3 linked regions of the Arabidopsis thaliana genome follow. The protein of the gene in region 2 interacts with the protein of the main gene of each other region in a pairwise test. Each region holds a gene or a part of one and is shown on either strand. Other genes may lie near its edges.

Region 1 (4,550 bases), on a different chromosome or scaffold from region 2:
TTTGGAATTTTCCGATAATTGTTTTTAATTATTTTAAAATATTATGAAATTAAATTCAAATTCGATTTATAAATAAGAATCTTGTATTTATACAACTCGGAAGCTCTAGTTATCGTTATTATTTTCTTTTCTCTCAACCTATTAGAAACTATCACTAGGATCATCAAAATCAAAGATTTATCGAGTAAATCTCCCAAAAACGAATCGACTAGATTTTCTGTTTCCGATCAAAACTATTGTTTTAAGACTTTAAGTAGTCCCATACTAAAAAAAAAAAAAAAAAAAAAAAAGTAGTCCCTTACTACATCAAATTCGTCTTCCTTGACGGCAGTTCTACTGTTTACCTTTCTAACAATTTGATTAGAAAATACTGTTAGATTATTATAAGTGGTTGGTTTGTAACTGAACACGGCTTACACACAGAACAAAAATCAAACTTGAGGTTATAATGAATAACTACATAAACTCACATGTGGCATAATGCATGCTCGAAATAATTTGGGAGAGTGGGATCCATGAGATGCTAATGAGGCTGGGATATTTTAGGACAAATGAAACAGCTGGTTTCCATCTATTAATAACCAGGATCTTTCTTGTCTCCTCTTCCACCTTGTCTTGAAGTTGCATGAGCTGTCCTAGGCCTATCTTTTAACTATGTCCACTCCACTTCACTCATCCTATCCACTTAGCTTATCCCCATTATTAAATGTGTCTCCCTTGGTTTTACTATTTATCTTTATCATATTTTGATTGAAAAATATCGTGAGGTTAGTTTCTAGAAGTTTTACCCGATGACAATCGAAATTGCCAAAACAACAAAAGAAACTGATAAGATATTTTCTCTGTCCAAGTGAATGAGAGTGAATTCCCAATATTTTTAAATGATGTTTGTATTCTTGTTCTCTTTTTTTTTTCATTTAACTGTTATGGGATATGTACGTAATTTTCCGCAATTCTAATGTATACTATAACAATATGATTTTCATGCTTAGACTGCGTTAGAAAGTTCGGTTATAATACTGACAACATTTGTGTGTTCATTGATACTGCGAACATCTTCACAAACATATTGATAAATAATCTCTTCTCTTGCATGAGATTATATTATTTGAGTACATGTACACGTTCTTATTTGCCGAATGTTCTTTGTTGCCACCATAAAGTTTTATTGGGCCAAAACTAATAGAAACCACACATAATCATTTCGTTGTTTTGTGTTTTTGTCAAACAAATCACACATAATTCAACGACAAACTTTCTAATTTGAGCAACCTCTTTATCTCCTTGAAAGTTTCTATGGAGAATTCTACCGATTAGTCGACTCATGACTATTCATCCATTATCACAATTGACAAATCCAGATATTTTGATCAAATATCATTTGATTTTTTTGTTCTATCTCGAAGCAGATACCAGTGTACCATAAGAAAAAAATGCTTCATTAGTCATCTTCAAATCACATGCAAAAATTTGGAAGAAAACTGAAAACAATTTGCATGATAGATCATAATGTTCAAGCAAAAATAAATAAATCCAAATGTGATAAAATGTATAGATATTCACATTGATCTTACTAGTAATATTATATATTTTCTAAAGTTAATTAAAATGTTCTATGTATTTTTTTATATATGAAACACATCATATAAAAGAAAATTGGAATGTAAATTCCAGATCTTGATCCATATAAATATATCAAGATTTATATCGATCAAGATCATATTGGGATCCGTTTTAGACTAATCAAGATTTTACCATTCATATTTCTTGGATATCTGAAATTATAAAGCGCGTCAGAAAATCTTCTACAAGACACTCCCAACATTAAAAAGCCAGAGAAATGATTTGCACACACTCGCTAGTTATATACATACAAAGCATAAAGTTCTGTCACGTGTAAAAGAGCTTGTGAAACATTACAGCAAACCAAACTATTTGACTAAAGATGAAAACAACACCTCTCCCGAGGCTGCATTATTTAGTAAGTCTTCTTTGTTTTTTTCTTTCTTCCAAGATTAAAGAAGACAGACCCAATTATGTAAGGGCAGTCTCTCCTATAAACCTAACTAGTTCATTGGAAAAAACAAGAGAGAAAAAAAAACGATTACTGCTGAGATCTACCATTTCTAAACCTCAACCCATGAATCCTTCTAACAATCCTAAAAAGACAAGGCACCAGAGTCATATGCCTCAAGAAAGAGATGAAACGAAGAAGGAGAAGAAGCTTCTCCACCGCAACATCGAACGACAAAGAAGACAAGAAATGGCGATCCTTTTCGCCTCTCTTCGTAGTCAGCTACCTCTAAAATACATCAAGGTACATATATTTTACTCCAATAGTCTCATTGAAGTCCCAATCTTCCTATCAAGTTCATTGATGGGAGATTTTTGTTCTCTAGGGTTTTAGTTTTCTCAGGCTCTTTCTTCGCAGGGAAAGAGAGCCATGTCAGATCATGTAAACGGAGCAGTAAGTTTCATCAAAGACACGCAAACAAGGATAAAAGATCTCTCCGCAAGAAGAGACGAGCTAAAGCGAGAGATTGGTGACCCTACTAGTCTAACTGGATCCGGATCCGGATCTGGATCAAGTAGATCGGAACCAGCTAGTGTCATGGTGCAACCGTGTGTGAGCGGCTTCGAGGTGGTTGTGAGCAGCTTAGCATCAGGTCTCGAGGCTTGGCCACTCTCAAGAGTTCTTGAAGTTCTTCACGGGCAAGGACTTGAAGTCATCAGCTCTTTAACAGCACGAGTCAACGAGAGGCTCATGTACACTATACAAGTCGAGGTACGGTTACATATTTGGAGTTATTGTAGAGTTTTTTAGTGTAAGCTTATCTATTGTGTAAATATGCTTATTCTTATGTATCCATATATATGATATATCCACAGGTAAATAGCTTTGATTGCTTCGACTTAGCTTGGTTGCAGCAGAAGCTAATTGAGCAGTTAGTACTTTCCACGACTAGGCACTGAAAAAACTAACATTTGTCATAAGAATATGTTCATTGAATGATGCTTTTGTCCCAATCTCTTTGTTTTAGTGTCCGTAAGGGTGTGTTCTTTTGGTCCTTCACTACTTGGAGTGATTTTTTTTTTTTTTTTTGTAAAAATGATCTGGTTGATTAGATTGAATTAGCAAATTCTAAACTTTCATGCATGCTTCTTTATATAGGAGAATCTTTTGATCACCAACAAAACAAAAATATAGTGATGCGCCTGATTTCTTTATACATTTTTGAATATATATATTCATCAATCGATGATAAAGACTAGAGTCTCATCGGTGTCTTTTTATACTTCATATGCATGAACCATAGTTGATAGATATTTTGAACATAGCATACATACACTTCTCTGAGACTTACCAATGAAGATATTTTATGAGAGGAGCATGGTAATGCAGGTTAAATAATGGAGCAGCTGCCATTCAACATTAGTAGATATCTTGTGAGTTTTACTGACTAAATTCGTACGACATTGACCTATAGCTAGGAACAAACACTGATCAAAAGAAACTTTCATTTGATTAACCCGCATATATATTAGTAGATAATATGGCATGCACATAATTTGATTTGACTCACGGTTTTCAAGTTTTCTAATCATGCCATATTTTGTTCATAAATGAAATTACATGACATTACTGAAATATATGGAAAGGAATACTGAAAACGTTTTTTTGGGTTAAGAAGAAGAAGAAAGTACATTCAAATATTCATCTATATTTTATAGTGACGTATATATAACTCTAGGTTTCTTTTGCCTCTTCGGCCTCAACCAGAAGCACTGAAGCACTGAAGCACATAAACAGTATCGCATAACTTCGGTCATATATATTTTGCCGTTGAATAATTTTTCTTAGATTTATGTAAAATTATGGCTTAAATACATCTTAATTATATAAAAATTAGCGAGGATGGCAGTCGAATGTTAAAGCAATAAAGATACGATTGAGTGGTTGAGATCTCCCTAATATACTTTTGATTTAATTATTGTTAGTTAATGGTTAAGTACAAAGATGCTGTCCAACGAATTCATGATCTTCAAATTGGATTATGTTCTAATAAAGACAGCCTAATTAGACCAATACTTAAATCAATTGTTGGTGATGCGTGGTTAAATAATATTCTGATGACAAAAAAACATAATTTTATTTTTTAAAAGTCCCTTTTCCAGAAGAAAAAAAGTTATAAGAAAAAGTTTAGCATATCCGAATTGACTAGTTCTATCTATAATTCAAGTGGATGACCGTAAAGCTTAAAAGAAAATGTCTATGCCCGATCCCTAAATTTCGAATTTATTTATAACAAAAAATTTGGTAAACTATTTATTTATTAATAATAAATTGGTCACATATATTCCGATTTTTAGTTCGAGAAGTACCCTTTTATGAATCTGAAATCCAATTATCGAGGGCACGATTTAAGACAGCTCACCTAATCATAAATAGTGGAAGAAAAAAGCTCTAATCTTACGTATGTATGAGTTTCTGGCTTTAGAAGAGTTAATTAACCTAAAGTTATCTAGTTGAGTGTTGTGTGAGTGTGAGG
Region 2 (4,516 bases):
TGCGACTGCGAGTGAAGGCGGCGAAGAGCGAGGAAGAACAACAAACGCCGTGAAGCTAGCTTTTTTGGGTTTGGGCCAAACGAGATTAGTTTCTAACAGATGTTTTTCCGGACCCGGACCGGTAATACCCACGATCCGCTTAATTATTTGGTCCCTGTCTAGCTCTAAAATCCCGGTGCAAACGAACCGGCAAAACCAACGACCTAGCGGTTCGGTATTTTGTTTCTGAAATCTGAACCCTCCGATTTGTTCTTCTTTTTTTTTTTCTTTTTATAATGCAAACAATTGATGAAAAAATATATTATGGTCCGAATGGTAACCTCGGTTTTTAATATGTGAGAAAAGTGGTATAACATTGCAGTACAGTTCAATTACGGTACGTGCGAGAAAAATATATTTGCGGGACAAATATGGTTTGTACAAAATAAGCGGTACAGAATAATGTTTGATTGATGAAAAAATTATTTGCGGTGCGGATTATAAATTATATATATATATATATATTAATAATTAATTATTATTTTTGTGTTAATAAATAAGCAATAACATATATTTATAAATTATTAATACATAAATAAATCAAAATATACATTTTTAAAGTTTAACATACATATTATTAAATTCGTTGAATAGTTTCATCATAAAAAATTGAAAAAAAAATCATAATTTTTTACTAGTAAATTGATTATAGAACTTATATAAGCTTATAGTGGATAATAATTGTCAAAATTTCTATAAGTATTATGATATTTCTATTTCTTGTAATTACATTTTCTTAGATTTTAATTAAATAAAAAGAATAAAACTATAATTATTGCATATATATATATATATATATATATATATATATATATATATTAAAGTCCATTAGTTAAGCAAATTGTTATGTCCTACGTATATTTTTTTCTTTTATGCACTAGGTAACTAGTGATTCTGATGCACACATATACTCTCTTTTTTTGTACATATATTTAAATGGGGAAGCTAATGGAAAAAAAATTAAAATTTGCTTAAGTAATGGAGTAATAAACGAGGGATGTGTGTATGGAAGAGGCAAAGGCTGAGAAACTTTTGGTTGGGACGTAGGACATAACAATTTGCTTAAGTAATGGAGTAATGAACGATTTTTTTGTTGGAATGCGGTTTTGAGCAAAAACACTAGGTAAATGATTTTTCTTCTTTTGAAAAGCATTCCAGTGTATTGTTTTTAGGACAAAATTGCAAACTTTTTTCTTTTTTTTTTCGAAAAACGCAAATTTGTTAAAAGTATTGATTGGTAACTGTATTGTAGTTTTAATAAAAAAACAAGAAAACGCCTTTTGTATGTTTCTTAATCACAGTGTATGAATGGTGACATAGACCGCCCCCAAAACCGTACCGTAACTGTAACAGTATAAAAAATCTCTATATATACATATATATCTATGTATTTTTGTTATTATTTGAACCGTCCCATACTTTTTCCGTATCACAAAATACAGTCATCATTCGAACCGCAAAACTATATATAGTATTTCGGTTTTTGAATTCAAAATGAAGGAGAAGAGGAATAGGCAGATTAATATAATTTCGTTATTTCTTTTTAATTTCCTATCTTCAATTTTTCCTCACCCACTGAATTTGACTATGCCATTAAAAATGTGTATACTAATCATCATACCGTCAATAAATAGAGTTTGTGGGAAACACACGACAGACACGTCATCAGCTCTCGACGGCGCGTTTCCATGCCTTTATTATCCTTCACGTTGACCCCACATGCCCCTGTTTTTTTTTTTTGGTGTTCTACGGTATATTTTTGTGAAAATGTTACTTTTCATCTACTCGATAAAATTCTTAAACAGATAGTACAACTTTTTACCCGATTAATCTGTAGAAAATACAATGTTATTTACACTCAACAAACATTTCCATTAATAGAACTTTACCCGATTTAAACCACTCTTCCACTCGATTAATATTATTATTTTATTAATTAAAGATACGATGACGTGTCCATGAGAGATGAGCTTTAGTGGCACGCAACGTAAGAGAAGAAGACAAAAGTAAAAAAGAGAAAGGCACATGTCGAACTCACGTGTCCACTTAAACGCACCACCTTCTTCTGTGCTCTCCACGCGCCTCCACACGCCCTCCTCAACTTCGGACCTTCTTCCTCCAAAAAAAACAATTTCACTCTTCATTTTCTCAGATTCTCTTATTATTTCTTCTACTCGTTTCGAATCCTAATCGTCTACAGTTTCCGACGAGATTCTCACCGGAGAAAGAAAGGTAGTTCTTTTCTCTGAATCTGTTGTGTTGAGAACTTAGCCGTAATTTTTGAGAATTATTCTTCACTATTTGATTTGACAAGAATATGGGTAATAAAGACAGAATCTAAAACACTTGCTTCAGTTTTTGAGGAATCAAAAATCACACGAAAGTTTTTTTTTTTTTTCTGCTCCTATGTTTCTTGGTGCGTTTGTGTTTATTTGACATTAGGAGTGATTGATTGATTATAAAGATGAATGATTTGTTAGATTCATTAAGATCACTGTTCTTTTTGATTAATCATCTTATGTCTAAATTTTAGGTGACTTGACAGAGAATCTTGTTCTGTAATAAAAGCAAAGATGGTATCGAAAACTCCTTCTACATCGTCTGATGAAGCAAATGCTACTGCAGATGAAAGGTGATTCTTAAGGAGACAATTCTTGGAAATAGATTATGGAACCTTTTATTTTTATTTATGGGGATTGATTATGTTTGGTGTATAAAACAGATGTAGAAAAGGTAAAGTACCGAAAAGGATCAACAAGGCCGTTCGTGAGAGGCTTAAGCGTGAGCATTTGAATGAGCTTTTCATTGAATTAGCCGATACTCTTGGTAAATTTCTCATCTTTCCGTAGATTTGAATGAACAATTGCTCGAGTGTGTTGTGATATTTTGAATGTGATTGTGATATCTAACTGTGAACATGTTTCTTTGTTGCAGAACTGAATCAACAGAACAGTGGGAAAGCTTCTATACTATGCGAAGCTACTCGATTCTTGAAGGACGTGTTTGGTCAAATTGAGTCTCTTAGAAAGGAGCATGCTTCTCTCCTATCTGAATCTAGCTATGTAAGTCAATTTCTATATGCACATTGATTGTGTTTATGTATTCTGTGACGTGAATCAACAACTAAGACGAATGTTGCTTCAAGAAGTTACTTCATCTTTGTATTTTTCTAAATGGTCTTGTTGATGGAAACTGGTGTTGTGTGTAGGTAACCACAGAGAAGAATGAGCTCAAGGAAGAAACATCAGTGCTTGAGACTGAGATTTCGAAACTACAAAACGAGATTGAAGCTAGAGCGAATCAGTCGAAACCTGACTTGAACACCTCTCCTGCACCCGAGTACCATCATCATCATTATCAACAACAACATCCTGAACGTGTATCTCAGTTCCCAGGACTTCCCATTTTCCAAGGCCCCGGCTTTCAACAATCTGCTACAACTCTTCATCCTCCTGCAACAGTTCTTGTCCTTCCAATACAACCTGATCCCCAGACACAAGATATCTCAGAAATGACTCAAGCGCAGCAGCCTTTGATGTTTAATAGCTCAAATGTGAGTAAGCCATGTCCAAGGTATGCTAGCGCGGCTGACTCGTGGTCTTCTCGGCTACTTGGAGAGCGGCTGAAAGCCAGTGAATGAGGTCTTGAACGGCTCCACATGGAGTAGCAACGCAAGTTATAAGACATGGCAACTTATGAAGGACTCTGGTTTTGTATTTTTTAATACATCGTTCTGATGTCCTTGTGGGTTTGGCCTTGGCTATTTCTTGTTTTTGATGGTTGTTCATAGGATCAGGAAGTTATGGCCTTGATGGGTCGTTTGAGATAAATAAGTAAATTAGCTCTAACCATTGTCATTTTCTTTTGTCTTAAGATTCTAAAAACACAGAAACAGAACAAAAAAAATCAAATTTCTTTTTAAGAAAAAAGCTTTCTAATGGAAACTAAAATGTGAAATTGGGTTTAAAAGACAAAACCGGTTAATAGGTTTTGGTTTGGATTGGATAAAGAATATGATGGTATTTTGGTAAAATAGGCACTTGAGAAAAAGAGAAGTGAGAGGAGCCATCTTATCTTTGCTATCGAGTGGGTAAGAAGAATCAGAAAACAGAAAATGGCGAATTCACTATGCTTCTTCTCTTCTCCTCCTACCTTTTGCTTCCAATCTCCAAGCAAAAACCCTAAACCTTCTCACTTCTTCTCAACTAATGATAACACCTCTTCCTTGGTACAGAAGAGAGAACTGCTTCAGACTTCAAGATCCCAAAGTTTTGAAGTTAAGGTTAGAATTTTCCCAAACTCTTCTCTTCTCTATAAAATTTGCTTACTTCATTGACCATTTCGTTAATGCAAAATCTCATTCTGTGGTATCAATAGGCCGCAAACAATAATCCTCAGGGCACTAAACCAAACAGTTTAGTTTGTGCAAATTGTGAAGGGGAAGGTAAGTTCTTACCTGTTTTATAATTCTCTTAGT
Region 3 (5,412 bases), on a different chromosome or scaffold from region 2:
TTTTTAAAACAATTTTAAAGCCTTTAAAAATCTTTAAAAGACTTTTGTAAATTTTTGAAATCCCTTTAAAATCTATTGTAAATTACCCTTTTAAAATCCCTTGTAAATCTTATAAAACCCCTATAAAATCCCTTGTAAATCTTTTAAAACTCTTTTAAAATCCCTTGTAAATCTATTTCCCGCCAAAAAAAAAAAATTGGCGGGAAAAATATGTTTGAAAACAAATTTTGGCGGGAAATTTATTTTGGAATATTTTTGGCGAAAAAATATTAATTTTTCATTTTGTTAACCTAAAACAATTTCCAAATAAGGGTAAAATGGTCATTAAAAATTTAAAGAGGGTAGAAATAAAATTGGATAAAACAAAAGGGTAAAGTTGAAAAAGGGCATCATGAAAAGGGCATTAGAAAAAAAAATTCTTAAAGGGATAATAATTAATATATTAAACTATTAAGTTGATTAACTGATTTTTTTTGTGTTAATATATTATCAAAACAAAACTTGTTTTTTTTTTTTTTTTTTTTTCATCCAAAACAAAACTTGTTTTATTTATTGATTTTTGTAAATAACTGTTTTTCTTAGCTTTTATTACTTCTTATGTTGGATGTTCGTGTTTGGTCTGAGAATTACCTCCTTAAGCACAAGTTGTTCCTTTATAAATGAGCTCCATTTAGGCATAATGATGTGAACCCTTTAGTTTTTGTTGGTGTAGACTCAAATTAGAGAGAGGAGTCGCTGAGATTGATAAGCTAGCAAACAGAATCTTCCATATCGACAAGCTTGGGAATCAACCTGAATTGTGATAGAAGAGAGAAAACATTTTCTAGGAAACTAAATTGTCTCTTTTGAATTTGAAATACTTTATTTGGAGCTTGTTTGCTTAGCGCATATCTCGAATTTGATTATATCTCGCAAGATAATTATGTGACGTTTTTGAATTATGTAAACATCTCAATAAGTGATATAGGAAAATTTAACTTACAAACAGAAAAATAAGCGATTTTTTCAATACATTCTAATAGTTGAATACATTAATTAGAATTAGGAGGGATACAATAATAGATAACTACAATTCATTCGTCATGTTCTAAAAATAGAGAGCAATAAGTACGACGGACAGTACCGTCACTACTTGGCGTCATGGTAGATAGGTAGTGGATCTGCTAGATATATGAGAACGGAAAGAACCAGAAGCTATTAGAGGCGGGAGGAGATATGTGGGGATGATTTCAGTGCAATTCCACGACGCACCATTTCCACTTTCGTAACACCTAAACGACCGCTTCGGCCGTATAAAATCGCAAATGTTTGGTCTCAGTGTATTTTTCCAATTTCCAAATACATCAATTCAAATTATATAATATCTAGTGGCAATTATAAGTATATCATATATTTTCAAAATTAATTAAAAAGATTACTAAATTATGTTTGACTACAACTATTATAATAGTTAAAAACATAAACAAAAACAAAGAAACTATTTTAATAAAAAAATCAAGTAAACATTAAAACATAAGCAAAAAATAATGTTAAAGAAATTATTAATTATTAATTTACTAATAATTAATACCTCTATAAATTAATTGTTAGAGGTTTAACGTAATTTATAAGGAAAACTAAAGAAGACTTTAACCCATAAAGAAAAAAACAAAGACTGAATTGAAGGCCCATATTTAGAAGAAGAGAAAGAAGACCCAAATATGATATAAAATCCAGCCCATTTATATATTTTTATTTTGTTTCTGGAAGGAAAATAAGAAAATGGCAAAAACGAAATAATCTGAAAAAGTAAGGTCTTTTACCAAAAAGGATATTTTTTTTATAAACAGAGCATAAAGTTTTCACTTTTCTTCTGCTCCTTTCTCGTCTCTGTCTTCTTCGTCCTCATTCGTTTTAAAGCATCAAAATTTCATCAACCCAAAATAGATTAAAAAAATCTGTAGCTTTCGCATGTAAATCTCTCTTTGAAGGTTCCTAACTCGTTAATCGTAACTCACAGTGACTCGTTCGAGTCAAAGTCTCTGTCTTTAGCTCAAACCATGGCTAGTAACAACCCTCACGACAACCTTTCTGACCAAACTCCTTCTGATGATTTCTTCGAGCAAATCCTCGGCCTTCCTAACTTCTCAGCCTCTTCTGCCGCCGGTTTATCTGGAGTTGACGGAGGATTAGGTGGTGGAGCACCGCCTATGATGCTGCAGTTGGGTTCCGGAGAAGAAGGAAGTCACATGGGTGGCTTAGGAGGAAGTGGACCAACTGGGTTTCACAATCAGATGTTTCCTTTGGGGTTAAGTCTTGATCAAGGGAAAGGACCTGGGTTTCTTAGACCTGAAGGAGGACATGGAAGTGGGAAAAGATTCTCAGATGATGTTGTTGATAATCGATGTTCTTCTATGAAACCTGTAAGTTCTGTTCTTGCTTTGGTGTTTGATTATTAGAAATGGGAAGAAATCGAATTTGAGGGTTTTGAAGAGAACATTTTTGGTAACTTTTGTTTTAGTTTTTGATTTGTGGTAAGTAACTTTAACAAAGTTGATGATTTGCGTTATGTGCTTTATTTTGGCTCAGACTTGTTGAATCTAATCGATTTTGGTTTGTTTAGTAAACTAAGGTTAGCTCTTGTTACTCTATGAGCAACTTCTCACTAGTTCATGTAGCTGCGTGGCTTATCTTGCCTTCTAAGTTGGTCAAATGAGTAATCTTAAGGGTCTAACTTAAATTATTCTCTTACAACTAATGGAGTCAAATCCTTGTGCAAATGGTTTATTTTCGTTTGGTCTTATTTCTTCTGTGTGTTGTCTGGAAGGTTTTCCACGGGCAGCCTATGCAACAGCCACCTCCATCGGCCCCACATCAGCCTACTTCAATCCGTCCCAGGGTTCGAGCTAGGCGTGGTCAGGCTACTGATCCACATAGCATCGCTGAGCGGGTATATTTCAGATTCTCTTTTGTATTTCCCTGTGATATACTATGTTGGTGGCGAGTTGGTTGTAGTTGAAAATATGTTTCGGATATAAAAAAATGTTAACATTGTGTAATGATCTCTTGATTTTATGGAGGGATTACCTAAAAGTTTGTTTTACTTTACCACAGCTACGTAGAGAAAGAATAGCAGAACGGATCAGGGCGCTGCAGGAACTTGTACCTACTGTGAACAAGGTCTGTACCTTTCACCCTAACCCTCACCTGTATATAATTTCTCTAGAAAGTTTGACACTTTCTGTTTCTCCCGTCTTCGTGTGCAGACCGATAGAGCTGCTATGATCGATGAGATTGTCGATTATGTAAAGTTTCTCAGGCTCCAAGTCAAGGTATATTCTTCTCTCTTCTGCAGTTTTAAACTCGAACTCTCTTTCTTGTGAATTATCTTATTACTCCCTATGCAATATGTTTAATCTGTTTGTTCATAAGATTAGAGATCTAAAGATCATGTCTTTCAAATTCTCTGGATGGATTTTTGGTGTTAATTCTGGTCCCACCATTACCTACCCTTCAACCAAATTTCAATCTGATTAGATCAGTTATTTAATGTGGGAAAGAATAAACAAGTCCAAAATGCTTTTGTTTTCTTTGGCATTTAGTCTCTTTTCACTTTTTGTTTTGTCATAGGGAGCCTAATCACAGTTTATGATTATAATACCATATTCAACAATAATTACAATCATCATGTTCACATTATAATATAGTAATCTGGTAGATCATCAAATGCTTCTTATATCAAAATGCAGTCGGTTACTTAAAGCTCTCGCAAGCGAAAAAAGGAAGTCTCTTTACTTTATAAGATAATGGAGACACTAAAGAAACAGAATGCAATGATGGATTTCTGATAAGATAATACATCTTTTGTTTTAAAAATAGAAAATGTGTTTCTTGTGAAATCTTCCATGCTCATCTAAAAGTAAAAGCTTTTTTTATATATATAATTTTCATGGGGTGAAGCTTATCACTTTCAATGATATCTGTTTCTCTTTGTCAACTTTGGTAGGTTTTGAGCATGAGCCGACTTGGTGGAGCCGGTGCGGTTGCTCCACTTGTTACTGATATGCCTCTTTCATCATCAGTTGAGGTAAAAACTTTTTAAGAACAAAAAGTAAAAACTTTAGTAATGGGGTTTTGATTCAGATTTTGCTTAAAATGTCAATAGGATGAAACGGGTGAGGGTGGAAGGACTCCGCAACCAGCGTGGGAGAAATGGTCTAACGATGGGACTGAACGTCAAGTGGCTAAACTGATGGAAGAGAACGTTGGAGCCGCGATGCAGCTTCTTCAATCAAAGGCTCTTTGTATGATGCCAATCTCATTGGCAATGGCAATTTACCATTCTCAACCTCCGGATACATCTTCAGTGGTCAAGCCTGAGAACAATCCTCCACAGTAGGATTTCTGCAATAAAGAGTTTGTACAGCTAATCCAACTGTCCAACATGGGTTTTTCTTCTGCTCTAATGACTCTGGTTTCTTCTCTCCTCTCTCACCCACTTGAAAGGTAAAAAAGTGAAAAAGGCTTTGTAGATGGAATCAATGTAGGATTTGCAGTAGAGGGAAAAAAAATGTCAAAAAGCTCAATTGATCAAGTATTATTGTAATCATTGTACCTTTATTTTAGGTGGACTTTGATGAAAGCAACTTTTTGTTTTCAAGACTTTAGTGGGAGGTTGAGGAAGGAGCTTGAAGGGTGTTATTTATTAGTAGTAGTAGTAGTGGGAAGTTGTGGGACCTTGTTGAGTTGTGTTCAAATTGAAGAAAAAACAAGTATTTGTAATTTGTCACCCCTTGTATTATTATTTATTTTGTATGACTTTGGAGTAGTATAATTAATTATCAAATAATATTATTAGTTTGATCTAGTAACCATCCTTTGTTTGATAACACTAGAAACATAAAGCAAATATTTTAGGAGAAAGTACCATGAATTGTGCTTCTTTTTTTTAGTGGTACGTGTACAATTTTAACTTCCAAATCTCAAATGCTAAGATATATACACTTTGGACAGAACATGTATCAATTTAAACTTGCATGTTTACATTTTGCATTGATTAGTGAAGACAAAATACAACTTTTATTAATATTGTTAGTTTTGGAAAAATATAGCCAAAAAAAAAACTCATCGAAGAATTAAAGTTATTGATATGATTATTTCATGTGATTCATTAAATCATTCTGCCAAATTTATTTTTTGAGTAAAGTTTGGAAAATCTTGTGTCTTTTGAAGTAACAGATAAAAGTTTTGTTTTTATTACAATTTCACATGAATCTTAGAGTGAGATAATAATAAACGAAGATGATTTGGCAATTTGTTTAAAATGGGTCTAAATTCCAAAACCAAGAAGACTACAAAGAGTATGCAAACTCAATTTGATGCGGTACAGGCGTCAAACATACATCGCTATAGCCTTTGCGTTATTGAACCACA

Evidence for each region.
Region 1: the proteins of PYE (region 2) and AT5G51790 interact in a two-hybrid assay, tested with the Arabidopsis thaliana proteins (one large-scale study listed by BioGRID).
Region 3: the proteins of PYE (region 2) and UNE12 interact in a two-hybrid assay, tested with the Arabidopsis thaliana proteins (one large-scale study listed by BioGRID).

The regions. Positions count from the first base shown.
Region 1 is NC_003076.8:21,037,622-21,042,171, forward strand, and holds AT5G51790 (basic helix-loop-helix (bHLH) DNA-binding superfamily protein), read left to right. Parts: upstream 1-1,911; 5' UTR 1,912-1,945; coding exon 1,946-2,317; intron 2,318-2,431; coding exon 2,432-2,785; coding exon of another isoform or gene 2,786-2,824; exon of another isoform or gene 2,825-2,889; coding exon 2,890-2,973; 3' UTR 2,974-3,997; downstream 3,998-4,550.
Region 2 is NC_003074.8:17,565,423-17,569,938, forward strand, and holds PYE (basic helix-loop-helix (bHLH) DNA-binding superfamily protein), read left to right. Parts: upstream 1-1,703; 5' UTR 1,704-1,780; exon of another isoform or gene 1,781-1,782; intron 1,783-2,053; exon of another isoform or gene 2,054-2,271; intron 2,272-2,423; 5' UTR 2,424-2,455; intron 2,456-2,572; 5' UTR 2,573-2,612; coding exon 2,613-2,671; intron 2,672-2,761; coding exon 2,762-2,865; intron 2,866-2,973; coding exon 2,974-3,101; intron 3,102-3,247; coding exon 3,248-3,679; 3' UTR 3,680-3,963; downstream 3,964-4,516. Other genes in the region: AT3G47650 (DnaJ/Hsp40 cysteine-rich domain superfamily protein), read left to right, coding at 4,154-4,321, 4,417-4,483.
Region 3 is NC_003075.7:1,136,934-1,142,345, reverse strand, and holds UNE12 (basic helix-loop-helix (bHLH) DNA-binding superfamily protein), read left to right. Parts: upstream 1-1,805; 5' UTR 1,806-2,039; coding exon 2,040-2,402; intron 2,403-2,806; coding exon 2,807-2,929; intron 2,930-3,093; coding exon 3,094-3,159; intron 3,160-3,245; coding exon 3,246-3,311; intron 3,312-3,985; coding exon 3,986-4,066; intron 4,067-4,144; coding exon 4,145-4,378; 3' UTR 4,379-4,859; downstream 4,860-5,412. UniProt on the Arabidopsis thaliana protein: Required for ovule fertilization.